Caenorhabditis elegans: one gene and its partners. The protein of the gene in region 3 purifies or fractionates together with the protein of the main gene of each other region. This does not show direct contact. Each region holds a gene or a part of one and is shown on either strand. Other genes may lie near its edges.

Region 1 (7,837 bases), on a different chromosome or scaffold from region 3:
TTCGATTTTTTTCAGTTGAATAATGTTTTATCTACAGCAATCCCATACATTTTCGTGGTGGGACTCAAAATTTTTTTTCTATTGTCTGAAAATTTTGTTTACTTTTTTTTTTTTTAATACTTTTTTAGGATAAATAAAATAATTTTCCGTATTTTTTTCCGTAAAATCTAGAAATATTTCGGCTGTACAAAAAAGTTAGGATTAATTTTAAATTTTTTTTTCACGAAAATTACGCATTTTTCTATTATTTTATCATAAAATCAAGCTTCATAATAATTTTTTCAGGTGAATAAAATTTTTTGAATTTTTAAAGAAAAATATGCGTTTCCCGTACAATTTTATTATTTTTTTTCTTCGCAAAAATCGAATTTTACTCAAAATTTCGCAGGTTTTTTGAAATTTTAAGCTTTTTTTCTATTTTTTCACCAAAAAAATCGCCCGTACTAAATGGCAAATTCCTGATCGCTTGAGCTCAAAAAAATTAAAATTTTTGAATTTTTTTTGACAAGAATCATCAATTTTTTTCTAAAAGTTTTCAGTTGTTTTCTAATTTTTTTAAAATAAATTTTCTTTTTTTTTTCTTAGAAAGCTAATTTTTTTTCGGTTGATAAATCTATAGTTTCATAGTTTTTTTTATGACTTTCTGATTTTCTAATATCACGAAAAATTACAATTCTTAACGATTTTGTCGTAATTTGCATCTAATTTGTGGTGAAAATTGTCTCAAATATTCAATTTTTTCAAATGAAAATTTTTTTGGGTCCCACTACGAAAACCGGCTGACTAGTTACTGTAATTTTGCAATTTTTTCAAATTTTTAAAGTTTTAATTTCGGCCTAGTTTTCCTGGTTTCAATTTTTTTAAAAATTCAAATTTGAATTTTTAAGATTTGTACAGTTGCAACAACTACAGTAACCCCGAATTTTTCGTGATGGGACCCAAAAATTCACTTTAATGAAATTTTATGATAATACTGAGCGTTTTTTCATGAAAACTGGAGTAAAAATTAAATTTTTAAAGAAAAATATGCAAAAACATGACAAAAAATTTTAAAATACGTTTTTCGCAGGTTTTTTGAAATTTTTAGCCTTTTTTCTATTTTTAGATCAAAAATCGCCCGTACTAAATGGCAAATTCCTGATAGCTGGCACAGCTTTCATGAATTGATGATCAAATGGTGGCATATTCCATACAAGTACACTTCCATCTCTTCTTGAACTTCGTACAACTGAGAAACGACGTTTTTCGTATGAAGATGATGAAGATTCCAGGGAATTTGAAGAATTATATGGTAGAAATGCAAATTGAACGTCGTTTAGGCACTGAAAATTTTGGGAAAATTGAGAATTTTCGGGCTTTTAAGCTGGAAAATCGCTTTACGCGGCTCGTGTACTCCCCGAGGACAAGACTTTACAGTTTTTGAGCTGAACATTCTTGATTTATGCAATTTTCACAATTTTTTGTAGAGATTTTTGGGAAAATCAATGAATTTTCTCGATTTTCAGCTTAAAATGCAATTTTTGGCGCTTTTTTTTTTGGTATTCAAATCTCCAGTTTATAGCAATAAACACTATTAAATTAGAGATCTAGAATTTTCTGTCATTATTTATCACTTTCGGTTTCAAATCGTCAAGGTTTGCTAATTTAATAGTTTTTTGAAGTAAAATTCGATAAATGGGCGATTTTAATGTTAAAAAATACTAAAAATTGAGAATTTTAGACAAAAATTGCCTTTTTAGAGCCAAAATCAACATAAATTCATGGTTTTTCACAGTAACCACGGCGATTTTTTTTTTAATTTTAAAAGTGAAAAAATCAGTGAAAAATGGCCTGAAATCAGGAAATTTCTTCTTCTCCTCGGGGAGTACACACGAGCTGCGTAAATCGACACGGAGCTCTTACAGATCTCGAGTGCTCCTGAACACCATTTACAGTGGCCACAATGAAGGGATTCGGCTGATCGAAATAATTTGAGGTTGGACGATTATTTGCAACAACTGGCGGTACTCCTTCTTTTTGGAGACTTCTGGAATTTGAAATTTTTATTATTTTTTGAAATTTTTGAATTTTATAGTAAATTTCACCATTTTTATACTATTTTACTATATTTTAGATTAATTTGAATGCTAAAGTCGAAAAAAAAAAATTTTTCAAGAGAATTTTTTCAAGAAAATTCAACTTTTTAGCGTTGAAATCTTGAATTTTTAGGCAAAAATATGTCAAATTTGTGGGAAATGTTCAAATTTTTTCAACAAAAATTCGTGATTTTAAGCTATTTATTTATTTTTTATTTTTTCCAAAAAAATCAATTATCTTTTTTTTAATTATTTTTTTTGCATATTTTTAATTGAAAATAAGCGATTTTAACTCAATTTTTGCCGAAAAAGTCGATTTTTCCCGGGATTTTTCACTCGATAAGCAATTTCTATGAGAAAATTCGTCAGAATGTGCGTTTTGGATATTTTGGCTCAATTTTTGTCAATTTTTCATTAAAAGATATAGTTTTTCTGCAAATAATCTGTTTTTCGTGGAAAAGCGGATTTTTTGTTTCATTTTTTGTTGTTTAAATCAATAATTATATATACGAAAATCTATCGAAATAGTGCAAAACTACTTAATTTTTTAAACAAAAATTTTTCGATTTTTGTCAATTTTTTTTGATTACACGCTAGAAAATTAGGGTATTTCGCAAATTGTATGCTTTTTCCAGGAAAATTTCAAATTTCTTTAGATTATTGATAATTTTATCAAAGAAAATTATTCGTTTTTGTGATTTTTTGTTGATTTTCATGTGTTTTTAGCTGAAAAATTCGATTTTTCCGGTATTTTCCAATAAAAATTTCCGGAATTTTCTCACTCGATAGGCAATTGAAATACATGAATTGATTCATCAGTATATCCAATTGTAACTTTATCCAAATCCGTAAGATATCCAGCCACACAACGTTTCGTAGTTATTTCATTTTTATGAAAAACTACTGTTGAAAGATCATCCATATCAATAATCATCCAACATGTCGATGCAATTATTAAAAGCATTCTTCTTGTTGAACAAATATATGAAACACTTCGAATATGTTGAATTTCTAGTCGTTTTGATTCATCTTCATATAGAGATGTTGCTGGGTCCTTTTTCTCCAGTTCTGTGAGCGTCCACACCTGGAAAATGGGGTTTTAGAGCTTGAAAATGGCTATTTTCGCGTTAAAATTGGTCTAAAATTATCTAAAATCAATTTTTTACCTCGGAAAAATTTAAATTTTTCCGTTTTAGCATTAAAAATAGCTTTTTAAACCAAAAATTAGAATTTTTAAATGTGAAAATTTAAATGTGAAAATCTTATGGTAATTGTCATTTTACAAGTAAAAATCTATTTAAAAACGAGATTTTTGCGTTAAGAACACTTTACATTGTGTGAATTGTTCAAAAATTCGCTTTTTTCAGTCAAAAATTGAAAATTTACATTAGAAATGTCACGGAAATTGCCTTTTAACAGGGAAAAAAGCTTCGAAAATTCTATTTTCTACTCGAAAAACCGTTTAAAATGTCATATTTTGGACGAATTTATACATGTTTTACACAAAAATCAACTGCAATAGCTATAAAAATTCAATTTTTCGAGCTTTTCAACTGGAAAAATGTGGTTTTAGAGCTTGAAAATGACTATTTTTGCATTAAAATTGATAAGAAACGGCCTAAAATCGATATTTTGCATCATAAAAAGAGCTTATAAACTGAAAATTTGAAATTCTCACGGAAATTGTGTTTTTTTTAGTTAAAAATTTTTTTTTAAGCTTCAAAAATTCAATTTTCCACTCGAAAACTGTCCAAAATGACATTTTTTCAATAGATTTATACATTTTTACACCAAAATCAACGTCAAAAGTCGTAAAAATTAATTTTTTTTTTCTTAAAAATAGCTTTAAAATCAGCTTTTTTAATCTAAAGGCTATACAAAAAATCTTCCAAATTAAGTAGAAAATTGGCTTTCTGGAGAAAAAATTCCAAAAACTGTGATTTTTAAGTGAAAAAAATTTGAAAATTTCACGGAAATTGTCGTTTTACAAGTTTGAAAAATCGAAATTATTAATAAAAAACTTTTAAAATCCAAATTTTTGGGCAAAAATTACAATTTTTTGCTCAAAACCACCAAATTTCGTTCAAAAATAAGCTTGAATCAGGGTATCGCGATTTTTTTTTCCATTTCTACATAAAATTGAAGATTTTTTCTAGAAAATTTGTATTTTCACATTAAAACATTTAAAAATGCAATTTTTCCGCGAAAATATGATATTTTTTAATGTTTTTCGGTGATTTTTGGCTGAAAAAAATTAATTTTTTCGCTTTTTAATCGATTTTCCATTAATTCCACACCTTCATCATTCCACTCAGAGTCATTCCAATCAACTGATCCTCCTTTTCCGGATGACTAATAATTGTAAAACAGCTTATCCAATCCGGTTCAACTCTTGAAGAAATTGAGAATACAACTGTCAAATCTTGTGGATCCATTACTTGAATATCACTATAATCTCCAATACAGAAAAGACGAGTTGCTCTCGTGTGACGGGACGATTTATACGTCTGAAATCAAAAAAATTCTCGGTTTTTTCGGCTAAAAATCGATTTTCCAGCGCCTACGTATGGATAAATATATCTGTGAATTGCAATAGAAGATGTTGAATCAATGCACCGTCCATCTTGAATCTCCCAGAGGCATACACGTCCGTCGGCTGAAGCTGAGACAAAACGTCTGGAATTTTTCGGAAATTATCGATTTTTTCCAAATCCTGCGTTACTAACGTATTTGTCGGTGTATTTGTTGTCTGAGAGATTGCTGTAATCTTTTGAGAATGTCCAATCATTAGCTGCTTTGGCATAAGTCCTTCTGCTAGCTTCCAAATAATAATGTGGCCATTTTCAGCGCCTGAAAATTTCGAAATTTCAGATTTTTTGTTTTATTGTTTAGAAAATTCGATGAATATTAACCTGTGATAATTGTTGCGCCATCAGGAAGCACACGAATTGCGCAAATCTTGTTTTCCGGCGGTTTCGGGCCCCAAATGACAACTGGAACGGAGAGCGCCGGCGATTTTGTGCCGGCTGGCGCGACTTCCACCATTTTTCAGCTAGATTTTCAGATTTACAGCAGAAATTTACACAATAATTTCATAATATTTAATCTGAAATGAAATCTGAATTTCTTCAATTAAATAAGCTTTTTTTTTAGAAAACTTTAATCGGAGCAAGAAAAGGGCAAAGTTCGATAGCCCGTAAATCGACATGAGATGCCGCGGGTCTCGCAGGGAAGAGAGCCAACATGGCATGCGCCTTTAAACTTGTGTGGATTTACGGGCAAACAGCCGTTGCGCAAAACAAATTTTATTTTTTATTTTATCATTTAAAATCAAAATAAACTATTTTCAATCGATTTTTTTTTGTTTTTTTTTGTTTAAAAATCAAATTTCAAATTTTTCTCATCGAAAATAATAAATTTCATCACCGAATTCCCTCTCTGTAACAGTTTCCGCTTGGTTTCCAATTTTCCAATTTCAGGGTACATTTTCCGATGAGTATAACCAAGGATACGCATTTTCCAAGTGACGAGGAGCTCACTGTTCCTCAGGAAATCACTTTATCAACTCCATGGCTCAAATCCATCGCTCCCTATATGGCAAAACATTGCGAAAAGGAGGCAAATGTTGGTTTTTCTGCCAAATTTTCGATAAAATTGAGATTTTTTGCAGGAGTTCATGCTTCGACGAAAGGAAGCCGAGGATCCACGTGCCGTTTTGAAGGAGGGAGCCGCGCTGACCGCGTGTGGAGTCAATTTTCTTCAATCTTTGAAGCGTTCCTGCCTTCCACAGACTCAGAAGCTCGCCGAATGTGTTGATCAGAGCAGTGCCAAGCTTTACATGTCAAAGTGAGCTTTCCAAAAATGAAATTTCATCGAAAATAAACCGTTAAAAAATTTTAACGTGATTTTTTTCCGAAAAAAAAAGCGAAAAAGCAGTAGAATATTCAATTTTCAGGTGCCATGACGACCAGAAGGAGCTCGATGCCTGCGTGGAAGCTAATTTGAACTTGACGCGTCCAAAGCTTGGATACTTCAGCAAACTTCATGTCTATGACTCGGCCACCGCGGCTCCAGGTACAGAAATTATAGAATTTACGATAAAATTAATTTAAAAATGCGAAAAAATCAATATTTTAGCTGAATTCTTCCACTGTTTTTCTCTCAATTTTTGTATGAACTTTTCAGAAAAGTTCCCAGAAACTCCTGAAACTTGAAAAATTCTAACGTTTTTGCATATTTTCCTGAAAAAAAAACCACTTTTTTGTTAAATTTTTCGCTTTTTTGACTATTTTAAAGCTTTTTAAAACTAAAAAGTCACGAAATTCACCTTTTTTCAGTCAAAAAAGCCTTGTAAAACTGGTAAAATTTGTATTTTTCGGAATAATTTCAAATTTCGAGCCAAAATATCACTATTTAAACCTTAATTTCAGACATTTTTTAGCGACAAATTCAAATTTCTATCCAAAAAATATTGTATTTTAAGTTAAATTTTGATAGATTTTGCGGAAAAAATCCGAATTTCAAGTCAAAAAAATCAATTTTTTCAGTTTTAGGCATCATTCCCACCTGAATTTCACGAAAATCTCACTAAAAACTCATTTAAAATCCCATTTTTCGCGGCAAATTCAATTTTCCCCAATTTCAGAGGTGAAGCTCCGTGACTACAAGGCAGAAGCAGCTAAAGTGCTCAATGAGCTTCCAGCCGACTATCATCTTCGCAAAGACTACCGTAAATACAACGACTGGCGCTACAATATTACTGAAAGCTAGATTTCTCTGAAAAATTGGCCGTTTTTCTGCAAATACCCTTCGTTTTCCCGTAGAGTTCTCTCCAAATTCTCCTATTTTTTTCTTGTTTTTTCCCGTTTTTTTTTCCAAAAATTTAAATTTTTTCAGCGAATAAAATGTAGATTTTCTTTAATTTTTTTTTTTCACTTTTTCAACCTTTCTGGTTTTAATCCGTGTGCTATTTCTAACAAATTGTGTGATTTTTTGCTGTGATTAAATAATTCGATTAATTTCTTATTTCAGACCTTATGGAAATCGTCTCAAGAGCATGGGAATCTGTAGATTGGGACCGAATTCAAGTTTTTTGGAAAAAAAAATTATTTAAAAAATCTGAAATTTCAGACAAGAGTGGAGGCTGAAGTGACAGCACTTGGACAACGACAAGATGACAGTGAAATTCGTAAAACACGATTGGTTGAGGAGAGTAATGCATATAGAGGCAGAACTAATAAGGTAAAGAATTGGAGAAAAATTGGCCTGAAATCCGGTGAAAATCGAATCAAAATATGGGAAAATTGCCGAAAATCCAGCAAAAATAGAGAGAAATTATGGAAAAAATGGCTGAAAATCCGGCAAAAATGGAAAGAAATTATGGAAAAAAAATTGGCTAAAATCCAGAGAAAATCCGGATAAATTGGCTGAAAATTCGGCAAAAATGCTGAGAATTTATGGAAAAATTAGCTAAAAATCTCAGCGAAAATTACTCGAAATTTTAGGAAAAAAAATGATTGAAAATCCTGCAACATTGGGGAGAAAATATATAGAAATTTGCTAAAAAACAAGAAAAAAAATGAGGAGAACTTTTGGAACACTGGGCTGAAAATTCAGAGAAAACGAGTATAAATTCTTGAAAACTGAGCTAACAATCCTGCATAATTTGAATAAAAATTCAGCGAAATTAATGAAAAATGGACCAAGCTCTGTCGATATTTATAAGTGAGGATTTTTTCCACCGATTTTTAAATACAACTTTT
Region 2 (8,185 bases), on a different chromosome or scaffold from region 3:
AAAAATACGGGACATTTTTTATTCAAAATTTTTAAAAAATGGGTCAAATCGATGTAAAATTTTACGCTGGTCATTTTTCCAGTAAAAAGTTTTCCGATATCTCTATTCTCCGCGGAGATACAAGCTTGCAAAGTTAGGGCGGCGAGAGAGCAGTGGAGGGGGAGAGACGCAGGCGGCGAGCCTGTCTGCGCTCTCCCCCTCCCCCACACTCTCTGCACGCGGTATCTTCAAACCGTCGTATCTCAGCAGAGAGTGGGGATATCAAAAAATTTCCAATTGGTAAGTTGTTCAGCATGAAATTTTGCTTCATGTGAATAGATTTATTCAATTTTAAATTATTTTTTTATGTTTGTTGTTTTTTTTTTCAAATCAAACATCCATCAACTGTTGAGTTCGTTTCCAATATCTTCATTTCTGATAAATCTTTTGCTTTTTTTCTTCTTATCACTTCCACTACTATTTGTAATGCTTTTCAGGGTCTTCTCTCAGCAGAAGCCCCTGAACTATTTCGCAATTCTCATCAAAAATTTCGTTTTCAATCAATTTTCCACGAATTTTTCAATTTTTTTTTCCAATACAAAGTCAGACACACGAATCACATAAAAATGTGATTATCCGTGTCTAGAAAAGTATTTAAGTACGATTTTGAGCATTTTTTGTCTGAAAAAAGTGATGATAACGGGTTGATGAGGGGAATTATCTATCACTTTTCACTCATTTTTTGTCATCATTTTTCTATTATTACAACCTGAAACCCTGCCGTTTTCTCTGCGTCTCTCTCTCTATCAGTAGTGGCTCCCCATCCCAGGCCGTACTCCAGGTGCATGTGTGTTCTTCTGGCGTTGAACTCTACACTTTTTGACTAAATTATGTCTTTTCAGTGTTTGTGATCAACCTGTAGTTCAGTTTCAATTGGAAGAGTTCGAGAGATCAAAAATTTAATTGAAATTTTGAATTTCCCGCCAAAAAAGACTAAAAATTTGAATTTTTTTGGAACTTCCCGCCAAAAATTTACTGAAAATTTGAATTTCCCTCTTGAAAATTGACTCAAAATTTGAATTTTCCGCTGAAAATTGACTGAAATTTTGAATTTTGGAACTTCCGGCCAAAAATTGACTGAAAATTTGAATTTCCCGCCAAATATTGACTGAAAATTTGAATATCTTGCTGAAAATCCCGCGGTGTCAAACTGTCCCATTTTGGCGTGTGATCTACAAAAAATGCGGGAATTTCTTGCAGAGAAAAATGTGACGTCAGCACACGCTCTTAACCATACAAAATCTGTTGAGAAATCCGCGTCTAAATTCCCGCATTTTTGGTAGATCACACCGAAACGGGACACTTTGACACCACATGAAAATTTTAAATTCTCCGCCGAAAATATTCTGACTGTCTTGAATATTTCCTAGCAAAAAACTTCTTTTTTTTTTCTTAATTTCTGGGCAATTCTAATAAATTTTTGAAAAAAAACTGGGCGATTTCATGGATTTTTAACTTAAAAATTCAATTTTTGAACATTTTTCCCTTGAAAAACGCTTATATTGCTTAAAATTAGCTGAAACTTCAGTATTTCCAGACCCAATTTAGAATACTTTCGGTAAAATTGTCGTCAATTGGTGCGCGTTGTCCGCAAACACCGTCACGTCAGAATGCACAGAAACGAAAAAAAATGTTTTTTTTCGGCGGTTTTTTTCAAATTTTAAATTTATTTCCGCTCATTTTTCGTCATTTTTTCGAATTTTTGTTCAGATTTTCATCAAAATTTCTTAATTTTCTAGTTTCCCGCCATATCTGCGCCAGAAAAAGTCAAGTTTTACCCATTTTTTCGAAGAAAATTGCTGATAACGCTCTCTTATCAGCCGATAAAATTCAAAATACACGCGGAAATGATGACAAAATACGATGATTTTTGGGTTTCCCGCCTCTCTGACGATGGAAAATTTGCATAAATATATTTAAATCCCCGCCGGGAAGGCATTTTCCCGATTTTCTCCAGGGTTTATAGTTTTCACCAGTGGAATTTCGGTTCATTCGAACCTTTTTTGGCTTTTTTAAATGTTTTAATTTGAAAAATCGCTGAAAAAATCGATTTTCAGTGTATTTTCTCGCTGAACAACTTGAAAATCGAATTTTTTGAGTAAAATTTACAGTTTTTTACTCCACAAATCTTGAAAAACCCTTTTAAAACTAGATTTTTCGGTGGATTTTCAACTTTTTTTGCGATTTTTAATGTTAAAAAGTAGCCGAGACGAATTTTTTCTTTTCCAAATTTGCCGACTTTGTCAAAAACCTTCAAAAAACCGGCAAAGTCGGCAAATTTGCCAGAAACTCGAAAAACGGCAAATTTGCCGAAAATGCCGGAATATTTTATATTTGGAAAACTCGTCAAAGTTGCCGGTTAAAGAACGGCAAATTTGCATTTTCGGAAATTTTGCCGATTTGTCAAAAAAAATGGCGGAAATTGTTGGACAAATAGTATTGTGCCGATTTGCCGGAATTTTTATTTCTGGCAAATTGCCAAATTTGCCGAAACTATTTATTTTTAGTCAAATTCGGCAAATCGGCAAATTGCCGGACCGGCAAAAAACCGGTTTTCGCCGAATTCGCCAAAATGTTGAAAAACGGCAAAATTGCCGATTTGCCGAAATTTGAATTTTCAGTCAATTTTTGGCGGGAAATTCAAATTTTCTGTCAATTTTTGGCGGGAAATTCAAATTTTCTGTCAATTTTTGGCGGGAAATTCAAATTTTCAGTCAATTCCAGCGCTGAACATTGCTCAATTTCCTTTTATTTTCCGAATTTTTGTCAAAAAAAAAGCGTGAAAAAACGCTCAAAATTAACAACTTTCCAGACCACTTTTACAGCTTTACCCCCTTAAAAAATCCGAAAATTCCCATTTTTTACTGAAAAAATCTCGGATTTTCAGCAATTTTTCAGCGTATTTTCTCGTTCAAAAAGCTTTGTGTTACCATAGAAACGTTCAATTTTTCCTTTTTTTTTGTTCAGAAATAAACCTGCGAGCGACCTCATACTCAACACAAACTCCAAAAATTAGATGCTTTCCTCGTTTTGTGGCGACGGCCATCCGGTATTGATTTTTTTTTGTTTGAAAATTGGAATTTGAAAAATGGCAAAAAAAAAATCAGAAAGTTTTTTTTTTGAAAAAAATTTTTCCGAAAAAAAAAATAAAAATTTGCGCTTTTTTTGAGGAATTTTCATGGAATTTATCGATTTGCTAAAAAAAACAAAAAAAATCACTAAAAATATTGTAAAAATATTCCAGAAATCCAGAAAAAAGGCCAAATAGTATACAAAATATAATAATTTTTCGAAAAACTTCAAAAATTTCACCAAAAAAAAATCTGAAAACAATTAGATAAAAGTCACAAAAAATTAGCCTGTTTTTGATAAATCACAAAAATTTTCCAAAAAAAAATTAACAAAAAATTACGATTTTCTGGTTAAAAAAATCCAAAAAATAGCTAGAAATTTATTTCAAAATGAAATTCTTTTTTTCAATATTCCAATTTTTTGAAAAAAATATTTCAGAAAAAATTAGAAGAATTTCCAAAAAAATCCAAACTTTTTCAAGAAAAAAATTCCAAAAAAATTACGATTTTCTCGCGAAAAATCCTTTAAAAAATCACAAAAATACATTTAAAATTTACAAAAAAATCACTACGTTTTCGAAAAAAAACTCACAATTTTAGAATAAAAAATTTAAAAAAAAATTTTTTCTGGTAATAAAATCCAAAAAAAAATCAAAAAAAAATTCTGAAAAAGCCATAAAAAATTCAAAAATTTTCCAAAAAAATTGTATTAATTTTAGAAAAAAATCACAAAAATTTTCCAAAATAATTAACAAAAATTAAAAATAAAACCAATAAAATTACGATTTTCTGGTTTTAAAAAAATCCAAAAAAAAAAAACAAATAAAAAAAATTTCAGAAAAAAATCACAAAACTTTCCAAAAGAAATTTTTTTTTTAATTAAAAAAATTTTTCGAAAAAATCACAAAGCAAAATTAGAAAAATCATTTAAAAAAAAAAATTACGATTTTCTGGTGAAAAAATCCAAAAAAAAATCGTAAAAAATTCAATTTTTTTTTGCAGTTCTCAACGGGTCTACCGAACGTCTCAATATGTGCTCAACACACGGTGCTCGTCTGGGTTCCAGCCGCATTCTTCCTGCTCACTTTACCATTTCTAAGTGCTCAGTGTCATTTGACGGCTCAACGATTCGCGAGGCTTCCGTTCAGTGCTCATTTCATTATTAAGCTTCTTCTTGTCGCTTTTCTCGCTGCCAACTCACTTGCCACGTGGTGTTATGTGTTATTCTCGAAGAATTCATACGCTGCTGCGTATTATGTTTATCCAGGACTATGGGTTCTTGTTTGGGTACGGTTTTGGATGTGGAAATTTGAATTTCCCGCCAAAAATTGACTGAAAATTCAAATTTCGGCAAATCGGCAATTTTGCCGTTTTTCAACATTTTGGCGAATTCGGCGAAAACCGGTTTTTTGCCGGTCCGGCAATTTGCCGATTTGCCGAATTTGACTAAAAATAAATAGTTTCGGCAAATTTGGCAATTTGCCAGAAAAAAAAAATTCCGGCAAATCGGCACAATACTATTTGTCCAATTTCCGCCATTTTTTTCACAAACCGGAAAAAAAGAAAAAATTAGAAAAAAAGAAAAAAAAAAAAAAATTCCGGCAAAAATGTCATTTTTCAAATTTCCGGCAAATCAGGTTTTTAGCGGGGAATTCAAATTTCCTATCAATTTTTGGCGGGAAAGTGACTTAAAATTTGAATTTCCCGCTGAAATTTCAAGCAAAAAAATTATTACACGTTCGTCAATCAGTAGTGGTTCAAAAATTTTACGAATGTATAATAAGAAATTTTTTTCGGATTTTCAAATCTGAAATTTGAATTTGCAAAATTCAAAAAAAATTACAAAATTCGCAAATTCAAAGTTCATAAGAATTTAGGCTCCGCCCATTTTTTTTCTGAAAAATTCAAAAAATTTTTGATATTATGCATTTGCCAAAATAATACCAACCTCACCGGGGTACTGTAGAATAGACCCCGCCCACTTTTTGCTGAATTTTCTCTTGAAAATTGTCCGAAAAAGAATTTGTTTGAAAATCCGAAAAAAAAGTCTTATTACACATTCGAAAAATTTTTGAAACGCTACTGATTGACGACCGTGTAATAATAATTCTTGATTTGCCGAAATTTGAATTTTCAGTCAATTTTTGGCGGGAAATTCAAATTTTCAGTCAATTTTTGCCGGGAAATTCAAATTTTCTGTCAATTTTTGGCGGGAAATTTAAATTTCCACTCTAATCCCGTTACCTATTTTACAGACGGGTACCTTCCTAGTTCATCTCATTCGTCTTCGTTGTGGTCTCGTATCATCTGGAATTCAACACGTCACTTCATTAATCTTTTTGCTCTGCGGTGCTCCAGAATTCTATCAATGGATTCGAATGGAAAATTCGAATTCCTTCCCGAATGATCTCACCACCACCGACTCCGCCCAATTTTTATCGATTGCCTATTTAAGTTGGTATTCGGCACTGATTCTCTACACTTTTTCACTGTGTTTTGCTGATCCGCGAGGAGCTAAAACTGATGATGAAAAAGCGTCGTCGAAAAGTGCAGCATCACCGGAGCTGCAGAGCTCATTCTTGAATCGGCTCACACTGTGGTGGTTCAATAGTATCCCGTGGACAGGAGCCAGGAGGGATTTGGAGGTGCTACAAAATTTTAGGCCAAAAAAAAAAACGCTTTTTTAGGATGAAAATGAGCCATTTTAAGCCAAAATCTGCAAAGTTTGACCCTTTTTAAGCTGAAATTGGATGAAATTAAGTCGTGAAATTAAGGCTGAATGGCTGAATTCGGGACTTTTTCCCCGAATTTCGGAATTTTAGAGCTTGAATTAGGCCATTTTATGCTTAGATTCTGGCCTTCTTAGCTTGAATGAATAAGGTCACTTTGAGCTTAAATTAAGCCATTTTGAGGTTTAATTAGGACATTTTGAGCTTAGACAAGCCCATTTTTAGAATTAATTTAGTCCATGTTCAAGCTTAAGTTAGGCTGTTTTAAGCTTAAATTAGGCCATCTTTAGGTTATTTTAGGGTATTTCGACTTTAAAATGATTGAATTTAAGCCCAAATTAGGCCATTAGGTAGATTAAATTAGTCCATTTTGAGCTTAAATTAAGCAACTTTGAGATAAAATTAGGTCGTTTTAAGCTAAAATTAGTCCATTTTCAAGCTTAAATTATGCCATTTTCAAGCATAAATAAGCCCATTTTGAGCTTAAATTTGGGGGATTTTGAGATTAGATTAGGTCATTTTAAGCTTAAAAAAGCCCATTTCGCGTTTTAATTAGGCCATTTTAAGCGTAAATAGGACCGTTTTTCGACCTTAAATTATATCGATTTAGGCTTAAATTAGTCTTTTTTAAGCTAAAAAAGATCTTGTTAAGCTTGAATTAGCCCATTTTCAAGCTTAAATTAATCCATTTTCAGGCTTAATTTAGTTTATTTTCAAGCATAAATTAGGCTTTTTTATGCTTAAATTAAGCCATTTTGAGGCTTAAATTAGGCCTTTTAAGCCTATATTAAGCCATTTTATGCTTAAATTAGACCTTCTTAAGCTTGAATGAGGCCATTTTCAAGCTTAAATTAAGCCATTTTGAGGTTTAATTAGGCCTAAATTAGTCCATTTTCAAGCATAAATTAGGGCGTTTTATGCTTACATCAGACCTTCTCAAGCTTGAGCATAAGCTCATTTTCAAGCTAAACTTAGTCGTTGAAATTAGCCCATTTTGTCTTTAAGTTAGGCCTATTTAAGCTTAATTTAGTCCATTTTCAATCTTCAAATTAGGCCGTTTTACGCTTAAATCATCACATTACGCCAATTTTTCCAGATCGACGACATTTTCGAGCTTAACGAACGAAGTGGAACAGAATTTCTCAGCGAACTTTGGGAATCGTTTTGGGAGCCCAAGAGACTTAGTAAGTGCGATGGAGCGCACTTTCTGACAAACGGGAGATTTGAATTTTTTTTAGTTTTTTCGTGAAAAAATCCGGTTTTTTCCGCGGTTTTTAGTGGAAAAATTTCCAAAATTCTCAGATTTTCCCAAAAAAAAAAATCACTTTTCGGTCAATTTTTGGCGGGAAATTCAAATTTCTTGCAGAATACATCCACGATACGAGTATTTGGGCGAAAAAGGATCCATCTGAACAGGAAAAGGATCCAGTAGTCATTCCATCAGTTGTTTCATCGCTTTTTATGATGTTCCGATGGGAATTTCTGTTGGCTTCAACGTTGAAATTCGTCTCCGACACTATGCAATTTGCCAGTCCATTTTTACTACAGTAAGCAGCGGCGGGAAAATCGAAAAATTGACGATTTTTGGGGCTGAAAATTTACTGAAAAATTGACGGTTTTTCAGCCAAAAAATTGGATTTTTCAGCCAAAAAAAATTGGATTTTTCACCCCAAAAAATTGGATTTTTCACCCCAAAAAATTGGATTTTTCACCCCAAAAGATTGGATTTTTCACCCCAAAACCCACCCAATAAAAGAAAAAACTCCAATTTTCCAAATTTCAGCGAGCTTCTCAACTTCATCTCGGCGAAAAATGCTCCATTTTGGAAGGGAATGGCTCTGAGTATTCTAATGTTCTCTGTGTCGGAGCTCCGTTCACTTATTCTCAATGGATATTTCTATATTATGTTCAGAATGGGAACTAAAATTCAGACGTCGTTGACAGCTGCTGTATACAAAAAGGTAGCGCGGAGAATTGACTGGAAATTTGAATTTCCCGCCAAAAATTGATAGAAAATTTGAATTTTTGAATTTCCCGCCAGAAATTGACTGAAAATTTGAATTTCCCACCCAAAACTGACTGAAAATTTGAATTTTTGAATTTCCCGCCAGAAATTGACTGAAAATTTGAATTTCCCGCCCAAAACTGACTGAAAATTTGAATTTTTGAATTTCCCGCCAAAAATAGACTAAAAATTTGAATTTCCCGCCAAAAATTGACTGAAAATTTGAATTTTTGAATTTCCCGCCAAAAATAGACTAAAAATTTGAATTTCCCGCCAAAAATTGACTGAAAATTTGAATTTTTGAATTTCCCGCCAAAAATAGACTAAAAATTTGAATTTTT
Region 3 (8,169 bases):
TTTTCTTAATTCAGCTCTGGTTTGATTTTTGAAAATTTAATTTTAAAACTGAACTACTTGAAGGTGGAATTCGGAAAATGGGAAACTCTCGCTAATTTCCGTTGGTGTTGTTTGAAAATGTTGAAATTTTCGATTTTTTAAATTTTTTCTTTTGTGGTATTATATATATATTAGAATATTCCGTGTATTCTAAAACGAAATCCATATTTTTTGAAACTCTCCTTTAAGCTATCTAGGTCTTTATTATTTCTCAATTTTTACCCATTATTTTTTTAATTTTCAATATTTCGTTCGTTGATACCAATACATTTCTGCCGTCTTCAGCTATATACTCTACCCGCTTCTATTTTTCTTTTACTTTCTTCATTTTCCCACGACTCCCTCCTCTTCCACATTTCCACGTGACTGCCACCGATTTCTCTGATTTCAGATTGGCCTGCAGTGCCACTCAGATGTCGTCAGGAGCACCATCGGGTTCATCAATGTCGAGTACACCTGGATCACCACCACCACGGGCTGGCGGACCAAATAGTGTTTCTTTCAAGTGAGTTTTAGTGGGTGTTTTTCCCATAAATTTAAGTGTTTATAAATTTTTTAAAATAATTTTTCAATTTTTCAGAGATCTCTGCTGCTTATTCTGCTGTCCTCCATTCCCATCATCCATTGTTTCGAAATTGGCATTCATGCCTCCAGAGCCCAGTTATACTATTACTGAAGACAACAAGTTGGTTTTAATCGAAGGACGAGCAGCATGGCCTCATCAGGAAGTCGATATGGCGAATTGTGTCGAAATGAGAATAACGAGAACTCGGAGGCGTAATCGTGTAGCCTGTACAATGATTCGACCACTTCCAAATTCTCATTTCACATTGCTCTTCTCACATGGAAACGCTGTTGATCTTGGACAGATGACATCATTTTTGTATGGTCTTGGATTCCATCTGAATTGTAATGTATTCAGTTATGATTATTCCGGATATGGATGTTCAACGGGAAAACCGTCAGAGAAGAACCTTTACGCAGACATAACCGCCGCTTTTGAGTTGCTAAAATCAGAGTTCGGGGTTCCAAAAGAGAAAATTATTCTTTATGGGCAATCAATAGGCACCGTGCCAAGTGTCGATTTGGCAAGCCGCGAGGATTTGGCGGCACTCGTATTACATTCTCCTCTGATGTCCGGAATGCGTGTCGCTTTTCCCGGAACAACGACAACATGGTGTTGTGACGCGTTTCCATCGATTGAGAAAGTGCCACGTGTCAAATGCCCAACACTGGTGATTCATGGAACAGACGACGAAGTTATTGATTTCTCACATGGTGTATCTATTTACGAAAGATGCCCGACGTCAGTAGAACCACTCTGGGTTCCAGGTACGATATAAGCTTTTTGTAGTTTTCTGATTCGAAATGAAATCGGAAAAATTGTATTTAAAATTGGAATTCTTGTAAATAAAATCTCAAATTTATAGGAGCTGGTCACAATGACGTGGAGCTTCATGCAGCATATCTGGAACGTCTCCGAAGTTTCATCGATATGGAGGCTTCTGCGATTCGTGTTACTGCACCAATTACTAACGCAACGAGTACCAATAGTCGGACGATTTCGAATGGCACATCTTCCTAGTACAACATAATCAATCTCTTATCGTTTTCTGTAAATTCTAGAATCTAAAAGTTCTCATCGTTTTTAACGAAAGGTGATTGAAATTGGAGAAACAATGTGGACAATTTAAATATATCGAGGTGATATTTGTCTTTTTCGAGTTATTTTATTAAAGTTTACCTCCCAAGTTTATTTTAATTTCTAATCTATTGAGATTGAATCCAATTTTCAAACTTATCTCATCTCCCCCGGTTAATTTAACCGCGTAAGCTTCACCTCAATCATAACTTTCCATATTCCAAATATTATATGTCTACTAACTTTCCCCTACCCAATTCGCGTGTTTTGTACGTGTAACAAAATATTTTGTATTCTAACGCAATTTATGATCATCACTCAGCCTATTGGGATTAATGATGTTCATGAAAATGCGGAGAGTACTGTATTTCTCGTCTGTTACCCAAATTCCACACACAAGTTCATCTGCTCCGACGGGACTTTAAATTTTTCTTGTTTAAGCATAATTCCATTTTTCTAGTGTACCCAAAAAATCCCTTCATCCCAAACTTTATCTTTAATTACTGCTCACTTTTAAATTTGTTGTCGTTTTTTTTCTCAAAAACTTTATCTGTAATATGCTTTCATCCAACGAATCAAAACGTTTTGCTAATTTCTCCTATCAAATTGAATTCCATTCTTGTGCAGCTCTAAACTTCGAATCACAATTTGTTCAAAAATAAAATTTGTTTCATTTTTCAACAATCAAAGAAATTCAAAATTCAAGAACAAATCAATTTAACAATAACAATCAGGTAAACAGTTATTTTCATGCGTTCGAAGCTCGACCTGCTTTAAAATCGTCATAAATTTCAAGAAGATACGCTTCAGTTCGGGAAACAACTGCGGCAAGAGCTGAAAATATTTAGTTAATGAATAATTTAATAATATTAATTACCTTGTTCAAAATGCGTCCATTGCACGATTGTAGCATCAATGCTTTCACGCATTGCAAACATTGCAGCAGTTCTACAGACAGCAACAAGTTCTGCACCGGAATATCCTGATGTTTTTTCCACTAGTTTATCAATTGTTCTAACTGTATCATCGAATTTCATTTTTTTAGTTCGCATTTCGAGAATGGCTCTTCGTGTCACTTCACATGGTAATCCGACATAAATAGCACGATCCAGGCGACCTGAAATACAAAAAAAAATATTATTACTCGAACGGGCATTTTTTCCCCAAAACTACAGTAGTAGGTTTCAACACGACAATTTTCTATTAGATACAACCAGGAGTACTGTACTTTCAAATTTTCAGTCGTGCAGTATTTACATCAATTTTTCATAGTTTTGTGTTAAAAAAATATATTTTTTAAACAGACAACCTACTTACCAGGTCTTAAAAGTGCACTATCCAATTGATCAGGCCGATTAGTTGCCGCCAATAATATAACTCTACTTGACTTTTCCAAACCATCTAACTCAGTGAGCAATTGTGCCAAAACTCGATCCGAAACTCCAGAACTTTTTTCCGAACCTCTTGAAGAACCAACTGCATCGATTTCATCAAAGAATACAATAGTTGGAGCAACTTGTCTTGCTCTTGAAAATAAATCTCGAATTGCTTTTTCAGAGTCTCCAACCCATTTACTGAAAAGCTCCGGTCCCTTGACAGCGAGGAAATTCATTTTTGCTTCACTAGCCAGTGCACGTGCTATTAAAGTTTTACTACATCCGGGTGGTCCGTAAAGAAGAATTCCAGCTGGTGGATCAATTCCAAATCTTTCAAAAGCTTCTGGATGTTTTTGAGGCCAAATAACAGCTTGTTGAATTTCTAACTTTAATTCTTCATTTCCTCCAATATCATTCCAAGAAACATTAGGTACTTCTAGAATAAATTGACGAATTCCAGTTGGTCTGATTCGTTTTCTTGCGTCATTTACTCGTTCCAAATGTGTTCTTCCTCTTGCAAATTTCGCCGCTTTCAGTAATGAGCATAAATCTCCGCCAGTGAATCCATGAGTGTGCCGAGCAACATCAAGATGAAGTTCCAATGGGAAATTGTAGATGTTGCCAATTTTCGAAAGAATGTCGAGTCTCTCGTCTTGTGTTGGAACAGTGATTTCTGCTTCAATCGGGAATCTCACACGGAATCCAATGTCAAGAGTTTCGGAAGATCGAACACAAAGAATCACGCATTTCTGTAAAATATTGAATTGTAAAGTTAGAAAAAGGAAATCTATCTATTATAGGGACTCAGAAAAACACATTTAAATTGTCCGTACAGCGCACACGATTTCAAAATGGGCATTTTTCTGTGTCCCTACAATAATATAAAAAATCATTGTTCTTACCTTTTCGTCGCCCAACAAAAAGCTCAATGCTCGATTTGCTTTCGTATTTTCTTTTTCTAGTTCATTAACATCTACAATTACAATGTTTCCAGTTGTTACTCCATTCAATTCCATCAATTCTTCACAGCTACCAATGTAGGTTGTTGATCCAGAAAGAACTAACGCAACTTCTTTCAAAAGAAGTGTCTTTCCACTTCCAGGAAGTCCCCAGATCAAAACTGAACACGGTGACTCTTTTTGACGAACTGGACTGATAACATAATCTTCGAGAACTTGTTTGGCGGTGAAACATCCACCAATATTTGATAAGTCAGTTGGAAGAGTTTGAAGAACATCTGAAGTCGATCCTTCTGCAGAAGCATTCAAAATTTGAATTTTGTAGCCAACAGCTGTAGATACTACTTTCGAATTTCTTTTCTTGTCGTCATCTATTCCCATGGCGCTCATCTTGCTCTCGATTGGTTCTTCTGGGGTTACTGTAACATTTTGACCCAAATATTTCAGATCAACACTGGAATTGTATTGCAGATACGAGTGACTGAGATATGCTTCTAAGAATCCACTGAGAGCCGGATTTAAAGTCAAGGATGTCTTGACTGTGACACTCAGACTTTTGAGTTTTTCAACTCTTCCACAAGACTCCAATGTGATCATTCGTTCCCGTGCAATTCTAGAAGATATTATGGATACTTTGAGAAGTGCAACTTCTTTGCAAGGCCATACTATTCCAATAAAAGAATCAGAAGAATGAATAATTCGAACTGGTTGCCGAGCAAGTAGACCTAGACTTTCCATTGTTTGTTGATTGATTAGAATTGAGTGTTCCTAGAAAAAATGAAGTGGGTCAAAGAATATATGCGATTTTTTTTCATTTTTGCAGCAAAAAATTCAAAAAACTGAAGAGTGATTTTTAGAATTTTAGAAAAACTTACATATGTAAATTTTTACAGCTATATTCGGATTTTTTAAAGTTGTTTTTTGTAAAAATCGAACCTTTTCCCATCCAACAGCGTCTGGGGGTAAAAAACCTTCTGCTTTGTCCACTGCCACATTAAATCCACGTAGCGTTCCGTTTTGAGCGCACGCAATTTCAGATTCTACGACGGGCTTTCCACAGAAGTCTTGATGTCTTAAAGAATCTTTGGTAAGAACAACAGCATTACACTGGGGGCATGTCACGAGACTTGGTTTTTTCTTTGCACTTGACATCTGAAAATAGGAGTTATAGTTTTGGAAATTGCATGCAAACGAAAGCAAAAGAATATAATTTTTTTTTAATTAACGAAGCAAGTAAGTAAGTTCGTGAACCTAAGATTTGTAGTTCAGATAAACTGTGACAGAAACATGTTTCGCGAAGATTCTTTCTTCGAATAAAAAACTTTAGATAAAAAAAGATTCATTTCTGATTTTACTCATATATTCTTCCGCCGACAAAATACCAGGAAATCGTATCGTGTGCAATAAGAGAGAAAGATTCAAGAATGGGCTGTAGTCATAGTAAAAACAAAAACTCAAAGTCCAAATCAGCGATACTGAAGAAAGAGCATCCATTGGAACGATCGATTCATCACAATCGAGTTGCACATTTCGACGAAACGTGAGTTAACTTTTTAATATATTCAGATTATCAATTATTCTATGATTCAGTCAGCCAACAAGTCAATCGACAAGTGTTGAATCAGAAGAACTAAATGTGAAGCATTACTCGAAAACTTTGCTCAACGATACTGTGGAGCCAACTCATCAGAAGACTAGTGCACACGTTCCAGAGAAAAGTATCAAGAAGCAAGGTAAACGGCTTTTGTTGAATGAACAAAGCATCTTATGAAAGTTTTTTTTTATTTCAGAAGTCAAGCAAGAAGTCAAAAAGCATGAAACAACCACAGTCGTTCACACGAATGTACATGTGCCAAAACCTACTCATAAGCTACCGTAATTTTTCATAAATTTGAAGGCGTATTGGATGTTATTTGGATGCAATATTTTGTGATTTTCGCGAGAAAATTATAGTACAGTACCGTAGTTTTCGGGCAGAATAAAAATTTTGCATCTGAATAATATCTTATCGAAACATCCGAACTAACAAAATAATTATTTGAATATTTCAGACAAGCATCTGAAATTCCTATTGAAAGAATGGGATCAGATCCTCATACAGCTATTGCACCTACTTACCAACAAAAACAGTTCGCCACATCTACTTACTACCCAATGCCCACAATTGGAGAAAAACAAAAATCACCAGAAAAAGCAAAACCGGCAAGAAAAGTTGATAATACTGATGAAAAGAAGAGAAAGAAAGATCAGAATGAAAAGCCAGTTATCAATGGTGAGATAATAAATTAATAATAGAAATAAGAATTGGAATCCATTCAGGACCAAATGTTCGTCATCAATTGACTCCAGAAGATTTGGAGTATATCAAACGATCGGTTCAACAAAGAAACGAACGGTATATATTGCAAATAATTTATGACATGAAATAATGAACACATTTACAGACGTGCGTTTATGATGGCTCATCGAAATGAAACAGACGACACGTTGTATGAGCTTGAAGTACGAATGCCGGAAAAGGACTACACAAATCGAATGGAGGTTGGACAGAACTATCGTGTCTGTTGAAAATTGAGAGAAATAAAGTGTGTCTGGTGAAAAAAACTTTAAAAAAATCGTTTTTGGAATGAATTGAATATTTAGTGGGCAATGTGGGCGCTCAAGAAGGTCTTCACATCACGCATCTCCTGAAAATACATTAATATGATTAATATAATTTTGATTATGCATAATATGATGTGTAGTTTGATCTAATAGTTTGAAGTTTTCATTTTGTTTAATTCTTTGTAATTCTTTACCCGAAACGAGGACGTCGAAAATTCGAAAATTTAAAACTTGGAAAAATTTTAGAAAAATACGGAAAAAGACGAGGAAACTATTTATAGATATATCAAAAATATGTAGATTTTTTGGGAATAGAAGAAATGTTATATTTTATTTTTTTGTTTTAATCCTTTTTAATATTTTTCTTTTTCACAAAAAATTTTACATAATTTTGAAAAATCAATGGCTTCCTCGTTTTTTCCGTACAATTTTTCTAACATGTTTCCCAGTTTCTCAATTTATGATTTTTTGATTAAAAAACAGTGAAAAATTAGATTTCTCGATTTTTGAAAAAAAAAAGTTTTTTATTTAAATTTCAGGGCATTTTCATTTTTATAACTTTTTCGAAAATTCGAAATCTGGAAATTATTTTAAAACGTTTTTTTTCCAGAATTCGAGGAATCTAAAGTCGACAATTTTTTTCCTTTTTTTTATATTAAAAAAAAAATATCGTTTTCGATTTTTAAAAAAGGAAAACCGACACTCATGTTCCGAAAATCGTTTTTTAAAAATAAAATACCTCTCCACAGCTCGAATGCTGCATTCCCCTGTAGGTGTGAAGCTCAACTTTCGGATTGAATTTTTTAATATACTGCTCGGACATTTGTCCGAATTGAAGAGGAACCAAAAAGTCGTCTGTTCCATGTCCGAGGAAGATTGGTGTAGCATTGTTCGCAGTGAAGCTCTATAAAAATCAAAAAAAATTTTTTTTTAAATAATTTGAATAATCACCCCTGGGAATTTGGTTCTCTGCAAAAAGAATGAACTGAGTCCAACAATTCCTCCAAGTTTCTGTGGATATGTGAGACCAGCGTAAATAGCGAGAGCTCCACCCATTGAAAATCCACCGACAGCAATTCGAGAAGCTGGAATTCCAGCTGCAACTTCCGCATCAATCAATTGATGAACATATTGGGTAGCTCGATTAATTCCTTGCTCATCTTCCTGAGCATTTGGATCGAGGCCAAATAAGTCGAACCAAGCTGGCATTCGCATTCCCATATTGAGGGTTACTGGACGTTCAGAGCTGAAAAAAGTGAATCTGTTTCAGTGGATAATGGAGGGTGTCGGTTTTTCGATTTTTTGTTTTTACCGATATTTAAAAAGATCGATTTGAAAAATAGCTTGAAATTTTCTATATTTTTCCTCTTTTAAGAAGAAAATTATGTTTTATCTCATCAATATATAACCGAAATTTTATTAAAAAATTTTTTTTGTTAATTTTCTCTTAGTTTTTCGATACTTTTGTTTAATTCTATTATAAATGTACTTTTCTGCTATAATTAATAATTCTGCATTCAAAAGTACCTGTGTGGACAGATAAACTTGA

The links. The genes of interacting proteins can lie anywhere in the genome.
Region 1: the proteins of cdc-48.3 (region 3) and rbc-2 fractionate together in Caenorhabditis elegans (co-fractionation; one large-scale study listed by BioGRID). This does not show direct contact.
Region 2: the proteins of cdc-48.3 (region 3) and mrp-7 fractionate together in Caenorhabditis elegans (co-fractionation; one large-scale study listed by BioGRID). This does not show direct contact.

The regions. Positions count from the first base shown.
Region 1 is NC_003281.10:2,523,509-2,531,345, forward strand, and holds the start of rbc-2 (WD_REPEATS_REGION domain-containing protein), read right to left. Parts: upstream 5,182-7,837; 5' UTR 5,172-5,181; coding exon of another isoform or gene 5,142-5,171; 5' UTR 5,121-5,141; coding exon 4,988-5,120; intron 4,926-4,987; coding exon 4,802-4,925; intron 4,752-4,801; coding exon 4,640-4,751; intron 4,583-4,639; coding exon 4,373-4,582; intron 3,160-4,372; coding exon 2,858-3,159; intron 2,027-2,857; coding exon 1,903-2,026; intron 1,323-1,902; coding exon 1,124-1,322; intron 1-1,123. Other genes in the region: ndua-8 (NADH dehydrogenase [ubiquinone] 1 alpha subcomplex subunit 8), read left to right, coding at 5,568-5,699, 5,746-5,921, 6,031-6,149, 6,721-6,845; Homeobox protein cut-like ceh-44, read left to right, coding at 7,112-7,162, 7,206-7,316; cone-1 (Protein CASP), read left to right, coding at 7,112-7,162, 7,206-7,316.
Region 2 is NC_003283.11:19,671,839-19,680,023, forward strand, and holds the start of mrp-7 (Multidrug resistance protein mrp-7), read left to right. Parts: upstream 1-3,004; 5' UTR 3,005-3,055; coding exon 3,056-3,088; intron 3,089-4,112; coding exon 4,113-4,397; intron 4,398-5,365; coding exon 5,366-5,755; intron 5,756-6,935; coding exon 6,936-7,023; intron 7,024-7,205; coding exon 7,206-7,386; intron 7,387-7,622; coding exon 7,623-7,800; intron 7,801-8,185. UniProt on the Caenorhabditis elegans protein: Negatively regulates cellular toxicity by mediating the export of environmental toxicants such as methylmercury out of the cell. Plays a role in inhibiting methylmercury-induced dopamine (DA) motor neuron degeneration.
Region 3 is NC_003279.8:8,030,529-8,038,697, forward strand, and holds cdc-48.3 (ATPase family protein 2 homolog), read right to left. Parts: upstream 5,169-8,169; coding exon 4,953-5,168; intron 4,785-4,952; coding exon 3,960-4,784; intron 3,807-3,959; coding exon 2,999-3,806; intron 2,799-2,998; coding exon 2,559-2,798; intron 2,516-2,558; coding exon 2,430-2,515; 3' UTR 2,335-2,429; downstream 1-2,334. Other genes in the region: Alpha/beta hydrolase domain-containing protein aho-3, read left to right, coding at 453-544, 620-1,371, 1,470-1,624; K04G2.4 (SHSP domain-containing protein), read left to right, coding at 5,441-5,556, 5,607-5,749, 5,807-5,891, 6,068-6,288, 6,336-6,411, 6,461-6,584; ath-1 (palmitoyl-protein hydrolase), read right to left, coding at 6,656-6,703, 7,360-7,524, 7,572-7,866, 8,148-8,169. UniProt on the Caenorhabditis elegans protein: ATP-dependent chaperone which uses the energy provided by ATP hydrolysis to generate mechanical force to disassemble protein complexes.